3 linked regions of the Drosophila melanogaster genome follow. The protein of the gene in region 3 interacts with the protein of the main gene of each other region in a biochemical or structural test. Each region holds a gene or a part of one and is shown on either strand. Other genes may lie near its edges. The genes, in order: Chrac-16, Chrac-14 and Iswi.

Region 1 (3,486 bases), on a different chromosome or scaffold from region 3:
TCCAATGGACTGGCATGGGACGAGAAGGCCAAGAAGTTCTACTACATCGATACCACCGACTACGAGGTGAAGTCGTATGACTATGATTTCGAGACCGGCGTGGCTAGCAATCCCAAGGTTATATTCAATCTGCGCAAGAATAGTCCCAAGGATCATCTGCTGCCCGATGGCCTGACCATCGATACCGAGGGCAACCTGTATGTGGCCACCTTCAATGGCGCCACCATCTACAAGGTTAATCCCAAGTGAGTAGTTCACTCTAACATTCGTGATCGAGTGTTAAATGTCGTACTTCATTGCAGCACTGGCAAGATTCTGCTTGAGATCAAGTTCCCAACCAAACAGATTACCTCCGCCGCCTTCGGTGGCCCCAACTTGGACATCCTGTACGTGACCACTGCCGCCAAGTTCGATCAGCCCGCTCCAGCTGGCACCACCTACAAGGTGACCGGACTGAACGCCACCGGCTATCCCGGCGTCAACCTGAAGGTCTAGGAGCTGCAATCTCTATCTATCCTTAGCCGCAGTAAAATGTACCAATCGAATCCAAGTGCAATTATATGTTATGCTCTTTAACGTTTTAAATCGCGTCTATCAATGTTTTGCATGCTAGTTAGGTTATCCTTTTTTGCAGTTCTAGTTCAAGGTCAGCTTAAGGATCACATTCTCTCCTGGGAATATCCAGGATCATCATGTAAACTCACAAAGAGGTTGACTATGCTCTACTTTACTCTGATTTCAAACAACAATCTTATCAGCCGCAGACACACGGTAATCATCCGCGGATCTTATGGTCATTTGGAGGACGCAGTGCTCTTATGCTTCTTTATTAATCAGTGGTTCTATAAACAATTTTATACTTATCGTCTAGTCTAAAATTAAAGATAGCAAGGTGGCGTAAAAAATCAGTCGATGTTTTGGTGAATGGAGATCATCCACTCAATTTCGGTGTAGATAAACATCTGCATGACCGTCTATTCATCAGACTCCGATTCCGATTCGGACTCTTCTTCATCGTCATCATCGTCGTCGTCATCGTCGTCGTCGCTGCCGGCGGAGCGATTTAGCCGCAGCATCTCCTGGAACTGGTGTACACGGATCTTTTGCGGCACGATCTGCAGCAGAAACTCCAGATTCTTGTTCTTATTGACCACCTGGGAGAGATGCTCGTACTTGAGCGCTTCGCCCGGTCGCTGGCCGAATTCCTCCGTGTATGCCGCGCCCGCCAAATGGCGAACGAATAGCTCCGTGCACTTGGTCATCAGGAAGAGCACCTCGTTGGTGATCAAGCCCGTGTCCATGGAGCTCTTCATGATCGTTCGCACGCGGCTGAGGGGCAGAAAGGTTTCCGCGGTCGGTGGACGCTCCACGGGTGGTTGGCTCCTTGGTTCGCCCATTTGTTTACTTAATTCCCAAGCAAACTATGGCTTGGGAATTTTTTTGGTTTTAGAGCTGGGCTCACAAGTGGAGCTGTGAAACTATCGATGTTACAATCGAGGCATGAAATTCGTACCTTTCTGAGACACTATCGATTCTTTTTTTTTATTTGCTATCGATGGTTATGGTTTATGAAGACTTAAAATAAGTAACCGCAGGGCTTCCCTTAAAACGAACAATGCTGGCATACTTCTATTTTTGCAAGGAATTGGATGTGCACAATAATATATGTGTTACTTTCTCAGAATTAAGTTATAGCGCTAAATATATAAAAATTGAGAAACCCATTCGGATTTGCCTATACTTTCAGCTCTAGCTGGAGCGGGAATTTAACCAAATAACGTTGCGCCGATATGCTATCGGTAGCCACAACAAGTATTTAATAAAAGTTTTCCAAATATTTCAATTTATTAGTGGAAAAACCGCTCTAAGCAAATACCTTTAACTTAATCAAGAGATTAGGGGTAAAACGATTAGGATCTGCACGATTTATAAGGAAACATTCAATTGCAACAACATTTAGACAAGTCAATATTATCTACTTTTGTCTTTTCAGTATGCAATCAACTTTGGATTTTCACACTTATAGCTTAAAAATCTGTCTTCATTTTCGAACTCACATATAAATAAATATCAATAAATTATTATTGCACTTGATTTGTTTGCAGCAACGTTGCCAGACTTCCGTAATCGATGACTATCGAACCTATCGCTGCGCGGCATGTGCAACACTGCGTTTTCTGCTGCCCCCTTTTGGCTGTTGTTTCGTGTGTTGACCAATAAATTTTTCGCGTACTTTTCCAACTTTTCAATTACCGAACCGCAATTGCCGCCAAAATAGATAGCCGATAGCTAGTCGAGCGAGTAACCAGCGAGTTTTTGGCCAATTCACGCGACGATCAGGGGCAGTGGAAGCAGGAGCAGGATCTCGACCAGATCGCCAGGAAGCGACATTTCCATTAGAGCGGTTCAAGTGAAAGCGAGTGAGCTGCACGGCACGAGAGAACGAGACAGACAGACGGCGAGAGTGAGAGCGAGCGAGAGAGCTAGTTAAATCCTTTCGAGAATTCCAGGAATTCAAGCATCCAAAACAGCTGCTGCTGCCGCAAAATCATCAACATCATCACCATCGCTGTTTGTGAAACGTTGTTCAAGCAACGGCGTGCCAACAAACCAGTATCGACATTTAGATCTAGATTCGAATCCCCTATCCACATAGCTTGTGGGTGCACTTTTCCAGTTGGCCAATCTCAACCAGCAATTAAAAATGGCCGCTGCCGCTGCGAGCGCAGTGAATGCAGTGAACGACTGCTTCAGCATCGGATCCACAGTCGTCTGTACGACCTGTTTCAACGAGGAGGTGGAGGGCGAGGTGCTGGCCTTCGATCACAACACAAAGATGCTTATCCTGAGTATCCTTTTGCAACGAAATCCCCGAAATGCATACCCACACACACACACAACTTGCCCGCCGGGTGAAAGCGAGCACTTTCTCCGGCTGTCCACAGGGATCTCTTGAGCTGTCTGGACAAAAAGTCACACTGTCCTTTAGATTCGTATATAATTCTAATTCACACTCATCTTAACTGATAGCATTCACATATCACCTATCTCTTATCAAACCCATTGTTTACTGCTTGACAATTTGGTTCTCCGTACATCGTATATCTTTGCCCCCCGTTCCTGCTCTTCTCTTCCCTTTCCAACCGCATAGAATGCCGATCCAAGTCCACGGAGGAGCTGAGTGATATCTACGCGATGAACCTCTCGCTCTGCAGCAACGTGCAGGTGATCAAGGAGTGCAACGGCAACTTTGATGATCCGCAAAAGCTTAATCTGGAACAGGTAAGCATGCCAGCTCTGACCACTTACATAAATATATATATATATATATATATATTGCTTATACAGGTCAAAATGCGTCTGAGGAAAACAGTTGAGCGAAGACAGGACTACTTGAAGTCTAAGAATGCTGATGTCAGTCCAGAGGCGCAGGAACTCTATAGAGCGATAGCCAAACAATACGGGGTAATGACCTCTTGCACGATG
Region 2 (3,046 bases), on a different chromosome or scaffold from region 3:
AGGATTTAATTTAGAGAGTGAATTTGATATATTCCCCTATTATAACTCACAATAGTGTCCCTTTTAAGCTGCGGCACGCATCCATCGAAAATGAAAACCGGTCGCACACGATAGTATAGCAATTTACAGAGACGATGGAATAGACCCAGTAAATGGGCATTACTCAGGGCCGATCCCTTGTTGTCCTGAAAGCCCTTCACAACCTGATGCAACCAAATCGATATATCTGCAGGACGAAAAGTACTCCAATCAGCAAGTATTTCATTAGGTGGCGAAAAACGATGCTTACCCACTGCTAGGATTTTGCCCTCCAAAGTCTCTACGGGGACTGGCTTGCCGCACGGCTCAATGAGCTTCCACAAGCCCGTAACTCCCATTTTCTACTAAAATATTAATTGTATAAAACATGCAAAATAATAACTAACTAAACTTTTTGTTGCGATAAGACGCGCTTTTTTAAACAGCTGTTTCCAGTGCTGGAAAGAACACGCGGTTATCTATCTGGATGATTTTTAAAACAGTGATTTTCTGATCACATATATAAACAAATAATTACTGAAATACTTAAATATTATTCTGACACCTTTATATACTTTGAATGAAGGCGTAAAAAACTAGATCGGACTGGATTGAAATGCGGCATTATTTAAGGGTGTAATTCCAACCGTCACTTACAATCCCAAATTAATCCCATGTAAACGTTGACTAACAACATAATTTAGTCTTTGAGGAAAGTGACAAAACACAAGTGAAGTTCTTAGATAATGCCTATGTTTAATGTTTTTTGTTAATGCTCAATACTAGCTTTGTTCTTAATGACTGAAGAGGATAATTGATCCGTATAGTTTCTCCTATTCGTAATCACTCGGGGGCTTCCTCTGCTGTTGCGGTGGCACTGGCGTTGGCATTTTCGGCAGTGTTGGAATCCTTCTTGCTGGCCTTGCTCTCCTTTTTCTCCTTGACCACTTTACGATAGACCTCGAGATCCTGCGTCAGAGAGGGCACGAAGCTTTCGAAGTCTAGCTCGGTGAGGGTCTGTAGAATATCCTTGGCCGTGATGGTCTTGTGGTTCTGCTTGTGGGCCAACGCCGTCGACGAGGATGTCACGAAGATGGCAAACACAGATGCCGCTCGGGCGATCGCTGCTCGCGCTTCCTTGCTGACACTAGCTGACTCCGGCAGTGCTTCCTTGATGAGCCGGCCAATCACGGCATTCGGCAGGTTAAGATCCTCGATGCGCTCGACCATTTTGCTGCTGCTTATCTGCTTTTACTTGGTGGGCACTTTTGATTTTCCGTCTAGATTTCGGCGTCTTTGCTTCCCGCGTAAAGAGTAAACAGCTGGCTGAACAGTGTTGGACAAGGCCAGCGTGCACGCATCTACACCAGCGATGTGGCAACTCCCCCACTCAATTCTGTTTGCGCCGCCTCGTTCGCATCAATTGTTTACACATTTTTATAAATAACAGCCAATTACCCCGGCCTAAATGTGCACGGAGCGATTCGGGCCAAACTTGAAGCTGTTCCCCTCCGAACTAACGTGATACAAGTCCTGTGCGTGTGCCAGCTACCACGCACATGGACCAGCAACAAGCGACGCCGCCAAAAAAACGCAGGCACAGCGAGTACCACGATCCAGATTATCAGCAAACGGAAGTTTCTAGCCAGGATGAGGAAGAAACCTGCGCAGAAGCCGAGTCGCCCGGTCAAAGAAAGTGGACCAAGACGGAACAGTCGGATGGCATGCTGCCGTTGTCCGACAAATTTCAGCGCATCCGGGAGCTGCTTCGTCTGGAGTTCCAGCGCGAAATCTCTCAGAAGGTCGAGCAGCTGGCCGAGATCGACCGACGACTGCTGCAAGGACGACAACTGTTGGACAGACTACGCTATCAGGTGGTCAGCGAATATTACCGAAAGCAGCAGGTCCCCCTCACCGGCGCGGATATTGCGAAAGTGCGCGGCGACAGCCTTTTTGGGGACGACATAGCCGCTCCGCAGCTGCCACTGCATCCAGCCATTAAAAAAATCGTTGGCAAGCGCCCTGTTGTCATCCAAAATCATTTGCCAGAGCGCACGGCGGCCACCTTGGCCAAAGAAACCATCCGACTGAGGAATCCGGCTCATCGTCGGGCGGAACGAAGGCGGCAACAGAAGATCAAGGAGCAGGGCATCGTAACCGATCACTCCAAGGACAAAAAAGATCAGCCAGAGCAGGAACCTCCCATTTCCGTTAAGTTGGAGGACGAGCAGCCGTGCACCAGCCGACAGGCCCACGAAAGGCAAGTGGAGCTGAATGCCTCGCGGCTGAATAACAAGAACAAATTCAACTTCGTGGTGGGTAATACTTCCAAATACATTGGCGAAGACTCTCGAGAGAATGGCACAGGTGGGAATGCTTTGACCTATAAGTGGTTGGTCTATGTGCAAGGCAAAGATCTACCTGAACCACTTGAAAAATACATTAAAAAGGTAAGTAATTCCCATAAGCACGTACGGAGTGATTCAATCTCTTCTTCGCAATTCTAGGTGCGCTTCCACCTCCATCCGTCATACCGCCCAAACGACATCGTGGACGTGCACAGGTCTCCGTTTCAGCTTAACCGACATGGTTGGGGCGAGTTTCCGATGCGCATCCAGCTATTTTTCCAAGAGCACTTGCAGCAGAAACCCGTGCAACTAATGCACACGGTGGTGCTGGATAAAACAATGTGTGGACTGCACACGATGGGCGCAGAGACCACTGTGGAAATATGGCTGAGAGCAAAACAGGCGATAACGAAACAGAAAAGCGGCAAACCTCATCCTCCCCATGAACAGGAGACTGCAGTTCCTGCTCCACCTCTGGCTGCTCCGAATGTTTTAGAGCCTTCGGTTTTCGCCTTTCCTGGAGAGTCATGCAAACCGCGCACCATTTCAATCACTCAAAATAAGGAGGAACTTGATGACAATCTGTTTGCTGGTATCAACAAAATTGAACTCAGCGACGACATTGAGAAAATTGAACCAACTGTGTTGGTTTCAGAGCCCCTGAAGTTAAACTACAGTCC
Region 3 (6,568 bases):
CTTTGGCCTGCAGTTCTATGTGCCCAACGAGATCCTCTGGCGCAAGATCAGTCACAAGTTCAGTCCCGAGAAGCACAATATTACACAGATTCTGCTGCGCAGCGGCATTATCCTGCTTAGCGGTGGTGTAGCTGCTGCTATCCCCAACCTGGAACCCTTCATCAGTCTGGTGGGTGCCGTGTTCTTCTCGCTGCTGGGCATCTTTGTGCCCAGTTTCGTGGAGACCGTCTATCTGTGGCCCGACCGCCTGGGCGTGTGCAAGTGGAAGCTGGTCAAGAACATCTTCCTGGGCGTGTTCTCCATTCTTGCCCTGGTTGCTGGTGCCGTCGCCAGCATCAACGAGATCATCGAAATGTATAGCGACGACGACTAAGGATTCGATATGTATGGGTTCAACCTTCAAACAGAGACGTAGTATTACACTAGATGCAGGTAGCTCCAACAATGGAAGCGCGATGAAAGACAAGTATGAGTTCAAAAAGCAGGCGAAGCCCACATTCACATCAGACCCAACTTATGGCCATGTTGAACATGGTCAAGCGGCTCGGATGCCAAATTGCCGATGCCGTTGACTGCATGAACAAGATGATATTAAGTTTAAGTGCCCTGTTACACAAACTAAGCAGCAATTCATAGAATTTATATATGTTATTACGTTAAGTTGCTCAGCATTCCAAAACATAAAGCGAACAGTACCAAAACATTCAATATGTCGCCTTTTACTTACGGGGAATCCACCTCTGAATATAAAGTGAAACAATCTGTATGCTGTGTTGATTTATATAAATATAATGATTATAGTCTTAGAACACAATACAATTATTTGGAATAGAATACAGCGGCACGCAATAGTAATGTAGTCGGATGTGTAGGCGGGTGTTTAAAAAAACTTCAGATTTTGGGGGTGGGGTTGGTGTGATATTGCTTCCGGCGTGAGATATGAACTATTAACTATATAGAGTAAAATATGTTTAAGTAATCGCTTGTCTTAACTATTTAACTGCCTAGTGCTGAGTGTAGAGCCGAATCTCAGAAAAATATCTGTTTGCTTTGTCGCTTTACTTCTTCTTCTTTTTCGAGTTGGAACTGGTTGCCACCACCTCGCTCTTCCGCTTTTGACTGGCCTTCGGTTGGGGCGCGGGTGCTGGAGTGTTCGAGCTGGCACTTCCACTTCCAGCGGACACGCTGCCCTTTGGTGCCTTTTTCTTTTTCTCGGCGCGTTCTTTCTCTTCCAGCTCAATGTTTTCACGTTCAATAAGGGTAATCAACGTGTTGCAGCGACGCTGTAGCTCCAAAGCGGTTCTAGATTTGATGAACCAGTCAAAGCGGAATTGCGGAGAAGCTCTGTAAGAGAACGGAAATGTATAAGGGGTTTACTCATATTTAAAACCAAGTTTTTGCTCACCTTATAGCCGCTCGCAGCTCTTCGTAGACATTCTCCTTGTCAAAGCCCAACTTGTGAAGCATGCATACCAGAAAGCGATCCTCTATTTCAGTGTAATTCTTGCCCTTGTTATTACCATATTGCAGCCGCAACTGATGGAAGGGGGCGCGATACCGCGACATCTACAACAAAAATATATTCATATATATTAAAGATACTCTACAGAAACAATGCTAACTACCTTTTGATCCAAAGCCTTCTTAATAGACAATCGCCGTTGAATCTTGCCCTCTCCACGCTCAATCTGTCCCATTATTCGCTCAATATCCTGCAACTCAGTGCATCGCTCCCAAAACACGGCGTTGTACTCGATAACCTCCTCCGGAGTCTTGCCCTCCACGTCCTTGGCAATGTTGTCAATATCATCCCGACCGTACTTTTCGTTAGCCTTGATGAACTGGTTGAAATCGCGCTTGGTCCAGGCAGTGAAACCCTGTGAGAGTAGATTCTCCTTCTCCTGGATCTCTTCCTCGGTAAGCGGCTCTGCCTCATCGATCTTGCGCTGCTCCTCGCGCTGCACTTTGGTGGCATCCGATCCTAGTTCCGTGTTCTTGGGCACCTTGTAACCAACAGTCTTGCGGAAATAGTAGATTTCCTGGTCGAGCAGCTCAAACAGACGGGGTGGGAAGAACTGAAAGTCCTGAACGATAGGCTGCTTGGGTGGGCGGGGAGCCTTCGGTGCCTTGGGTTCGGAGACACGGAGAGCCTCGCGGAAATAGGCATCCACAGCATAGTTGGCTTTGCGTTCACGCTTCGGTGGCTCGATCCAGTTGCCCAGCGCATTTAGCTTTTGCTTCTCGCGCCAATCCTCACCCTCGAATTGATATACGGAAGAAGTTCCTGCCTCGCCGTTTGTGTCCATTGTGAACGTCCGCAGCGAACTCTCGCCCAGACTGTCCAGTGCTGCCTTTTGCTCGGCCGTCTTGGCCTCACCGCGCTCCAAAATAACATCGATGTCCTCATCGGTAATGTCTGTCTCCTTAGAGCTGAACACTTGGTTAGCTCCAAAACGGATTATATTAAGCATTTCATCCTTGTTCAACTGATTGGAGCGGTTGTCAACCAATCTGCCCCCCTGGATGACCATCTTGTCCAGACGGAGCTTGACCTCTGCTCTCTCCACGATCTTCTCCTCCACTGTACTTTCGGTGATCAGCCGGAAAACGCGCACTTGCTTCTTTTGACCAATACGATGAGCACGATCCATAGCTTGCAAATCCATTTGAGGATTCCAATCCGAGTCGTAAATGATGACAACATCAGCGGTAGCCAAATTGATACCCAAACCACCGGCTCGGGTGGACAACATGAAGAGAAACTTGGCGCTGTTGTCCATGTTAAATTCCTGAATCTGCCTGTTACGATCTTCGTGCGGCGTCTGACCATCCAGGCGGCAATAGTTGTAGTTGCGCCAGTGACAGTAGTCCTCGAGGATATCCAACATCCTCGTCATTTGTGAGAAAATCAACACACGCGATCCCTGCTCTTGGAGCTTGGGCAGCAGCTTGTCCAGAATAGCCATCTTTCCGGAGTTATACACCAAATGCGTGTCCGTGGTGTATGGCGGACCGGGCTCGGCGCCATCAAACAAATATGGGTGGTTGGTGCACTTGCGGAGCTGCATAAGGATGTTCTGCAGTCGCATCTTCTCCACTTTGCCAGCACCGTTCACTACATCAATGTCCTTAAGCAGCACCTTGGTGTACCAGTCGCGTTGCATCTTGGATAGACCCACAAATATTTTCATCTCCTTCTTCGGCTTCAGACGCTTCTCCACTTCGGCCTTTAGACGACGGAGCAGGAAAGGTTTCAGCACGGCATGCAAACGCGTAATCAATGCATCGTCACCCAGGCAGGTGTTCGTGTTGAACCATTCGTCAAAATCCTCTGACGAATTAAACACATCGGGCAGCAGGAAATTAAGCAGGGCCCACAGCTCGTGGAGGTTATTCTGCAGCGGAGTACCCGTGATAAGTAGACGATTAGCGGTCTTAAACTCTCGCAGAATCTCCGACAGCTTCGACTTCTCGTTCTTGATACGATGCGCCTCGTCGATGACCAAATAGCGCCAGTTGAACTTCTTGAATACAGACTTCTCGCGGATACACATCTCATAGGAGGTCACGCAAACGTCCCACTCGCCAGGCATGAGCACATCTCTAATGAAGGTGTTACGGGTGTCCTGGTCACCAATAAGGCAGACGGCTCTGAGGGAAGGACACCACTTTTTAAACTCATTTACCCAATTCTGAAGCGTTGACTTTGGCACGATGACGATGTGTGGTCCAGCTTGATTTCTGCACGCAAATATGGTATTTAGAGATTTCTTTAAAACAATAGATGTTTATGAAAACTCACTTGAAATGCTTGAGGTAACCCAGCAGAGATATGGTCTGCAGGGTCTTTCCTAGACCCATTTCATCGGCCAGAATTCCATTGATACCATTTTCGTAAAGCGAAATCATCCAGTTAAGACCGCGAATCTGGTAGTCACGCATCTCTCCACTTTTGATGTAGGCGGGTGAGGCATCGAAGCGAAAGATCTCCTTGGTGGCCGAGTCTTCCGCCAGCAACTCCTCATCCTCCTCCTGCTCTGTCTTGCGATGACGATGACTGTTTAATACAAAAGTACACCAATAGATAAAGTAGTTGGCTTTTTTATAGGGGGAGTTTAACTCACTCGGCCACATCCTTTTCCTTGTCCTTGTCTTTGATCTTCTTGGGTCTACCCTTAGGCTTCGTGGGACTCTTAGCGCTGTTAGTCATGAAGTGGGTGAATATCTCCGTCTGCTTTAGCAGGAAATCAAAGCGCCTACTGCGATCAGCCTCGATTTTGTTGTCGAACTCAGCCTCCTTTTCACCGGATGAACTGGTGGCCGCATCTGAAGTCGTCTCGTTCTGGCAGAGTTCAGAATATATGTATAGAAGTCCTTAGACAAAGCCTGCTGTATATTAACTTACCGAGTTCTCTTCGGTTGCCTCCACGGCAGCTGTATCTGTTTTGGACATATTTGCAATGCCGGCGTCTGTCTCTAAATGAACTTAATTTTTCCACAAATTTCCCCTCGCCAATCAAGCGTGCTGCACACTGGTGTCGTTTAATGTGAACTGAAAATCGAGTGTGCAACCTGTTAGTTATACTTTCAGTATATAAATAAAAGGCAATTTACACAAAACAATGTTTGTTTCGCTTAAACAAATTGTAAATAATTACATGCGATTTTTTTTAATGAATGGTGGGAAATCTGCGCGTGCTATCGCTAGATTATGCGATGAATGCGCGAAGTTGGCTGCGGCAGCGACGGTGGCGGCAAACAAATCGAGAATACGAACTATCGATAGTTTTGATGGATTACTATGAATGGCAGCACTGGCCGTGTGCCGTTATTATTAGTTTTAGACAAAGCCGTTATTCTGATTAATCAAATAGGTTATCTTTTTAAATTGTTTGCGTTTGTTTAAAAATTATTGCCTAATGTTTAAGTTTGAGATGATGGAATATAGCAGGAATCGAAAAGTCTAATGGGGTCTCATAATATTTTAGAAATAAGCCCTGTGGTGGAAACTGAATCTAAATATGACAATATGTACTACATCGTTTTAGACTTGAATGGCTGCCCCAAACTATATGAACAAAGACAAAATCTGTTAAATTACTTAGACAACCCCCATATTAAAGTATTTAATAGATATATCGCAAGAAACCCCCCGAAAAAGAACATTTAAAATGGTGCTAGGTGTGGCCAAGGTCAGCGCAGATAGAAAAACTACCACCCGGCTTATGGAAAACCTGTTTTTGCCTGAAGCCCAATACGGTCACACAACCACTCCATCACCTCGTTTCGTTTGAAAAAAAAACCATCCAAAATGAGTAAATACGACTCAAAGTACCTCGAGGAGAAGCTCAAACGGGAACTGCAGACGGAGTACGTGAGTGTTACGGACGAATCAGACGGCTGTGGCGGCAAGTTCAGCGCCGTAATCGTATCGCCAGCCTTCAGCGGCAAGACCCTTCTCCAGAAGCATAGATTAGTTAACTCAACGCTTGCCGAAGAACTGAAAGAAATCCATGCATTCTCCCAGAAATCCTACACACCCGAAGAGTGGGAGAAAGTGAAAGCCCAATAGTAGTACCGAATAAAAAAAAACCAACAACACACATACATATACACGAGCGATACAACAACAGCAAACACTAGCCGCAAAAACCTGTTGTTCGTTTTGCTGATGGTTGCGCTTTCCGATCGAAGAGACGAACAAGCCGAAAAACGCCAGTCGCACAAAGAAAGTGAAAGGGAAAGCACAGGAATCGGCAGCCAGAAATAGGAGTTACCGAATAAACAACGCAAATGATCCACTAAATGCATAAGTTACATAAAGAAATACAGCCATAAAAGTTTAACTACTTGTCGCAGGTCGTCCACTCGAAAGGCATTAGCATTACAATTCGAAACAGCTGATAAACCGATAAAGCCATAGCCAAACGGAATACAGAACACACAATACACGGAGATCATCAAGAACAATGCTCAAGTTCCAGGTCCATTCTCCGGGCAAGGTCATACTCCATGGCGAACACGCCGTGGTCTATCATCGTCCCGCCCTCGCCGCCGTAGTGGGTTTGGGCACTACTCTGAGATTTCGGCAGCTGGAGGACAGCCAGGTGGCAAGTTTTCAACTGGAGGCCCTTAACTGCACACTGGAGATCCAGTTGCCGGAGTTCAATGGATTTTTGGCTGAATTTAGGAGTAAATACCCATCAGATAGCACGGCCAATCTGTTGGAAGCCGTCCGCGCAGAGGTGTCCAAACAACTTGAACGATCCGGAGGCAATGCACCGAAGCAGCACACCCAGCGGGCATTCATCTCCATATACTATTTGCTGGCCGGCGCTGTACTCTCCGCACCCGGCGACAAGAAACTGACGCTGCAAACCGGTTTCCAGGTGCAGGTAGACAGCCAGCTAACCGTGGGTGCGGGTTTGGGCAGTTCCGCCTCTTTCGGAGCAGCTTTGGCCACGACATTTCTCATTTTGGCCGGACACTTTGATAGAGACAGCTACTTGTCGGAGGCAAACCAGGCGTTGATCTCGTCCTGGGCTTATGAATCGGAGCGTGTTAATCA

Evidence for each region.
Region 1: the proteins of Iswi (region 3) and Chrac-16 form a complex in vitro, tested with the Drosophila melanogaster proteins (one study listed by BioGRID).
Region 2: the proteins of Iswi (region 3) and Chrac-14 form a complex in vitro, tested with the Drosophila melanogaster proteins (one study listed by BioGRID).

The regions. Positions count from the first base shown.
Region 1 is NC_004354.4:12,016,477-12,019,962, forward strand, and holds Chrac-16 (chromatin accessibility complex 16kD protein), read right to left. Parts: upstream 1,486-3,486; 5' UTR 1,398-1,485; coding exon 975-1,397; 3' UTR 749-974; downstream 1-748. Other genes in the region: regucalcin, read left to right, coding at 1-245, 303-495; Lsm12a (LSM12 homolog a), read left to right, coding at 2,705-2,849, 3,152-3,282, 3,349-3,465. UniProt on the Drosophila melanogaster protein: Histone-like protein which promotes nucleosome sliding of ATP-dependent nucleosome remodeling complexes. Part of the chromatin-accessibility complex (CHRAC) which uses energy/ATP to increase the general accessibility of DNA in chromatin.
Region 2 is NT_033779.5:8,435,707-8,438,752, reverse strand, and holds Chrac-14 (chromatin accessibility complex 14kD protein), read right to left. Parts: upstream 1,349-3,046; 5' UTR 1,249-1,348; coding exon 862-1,248; 3' UTR 757-861; downstream 1-756. Other genes in the region: mus201 (mutagen-sensitive 201), read right to left, coding at 51-226, 290-377; D12, read left to right, coding at 1,578-2,468, 2,526-3,046. UniProt on the Drosophila melanogaster protein: Accessory component of the DNA polymerase epsilon complex. Participates in DNA repair and in chromosomal DNA replication. Histone-like protein which promotes nucleosome sliding of ATP-dependent nucleosome remodeling complexes.
Region 3 is NT_033778.4:12,634,828-12,641,395, reverse strand, and holds Iswi (imitation SWI), read right to left. Parts: upstream 4,726-6,568; 5' UTR 4,615-4,725; exon of another isoform or gene 4,553-4,614; 5' UTR 4,454-4,552; coding exon 4,406-4,453; intron 4,343-4,405; coding exon 4,125-4,342; intron 4,058-4,124; coding exon 3,803-4,057; intron 3,742-3,802; coding exon 1,626-3,741; intron 1,567-1,625; coding exon 1,406-1,566; intron 1,345-1,405; coding exon 1,059-1,344; 3' UTR 768-1,058; downstream 1-767. Other genes in the region: CG8785 (uncharacterized protein), read left to right, coding at 1-373; CG33672 (uncharacterized protein), read left to right, coding at 5,312-5,572; Mvk (mevalonate kinase), read left to right, coding at 5,970-6,568.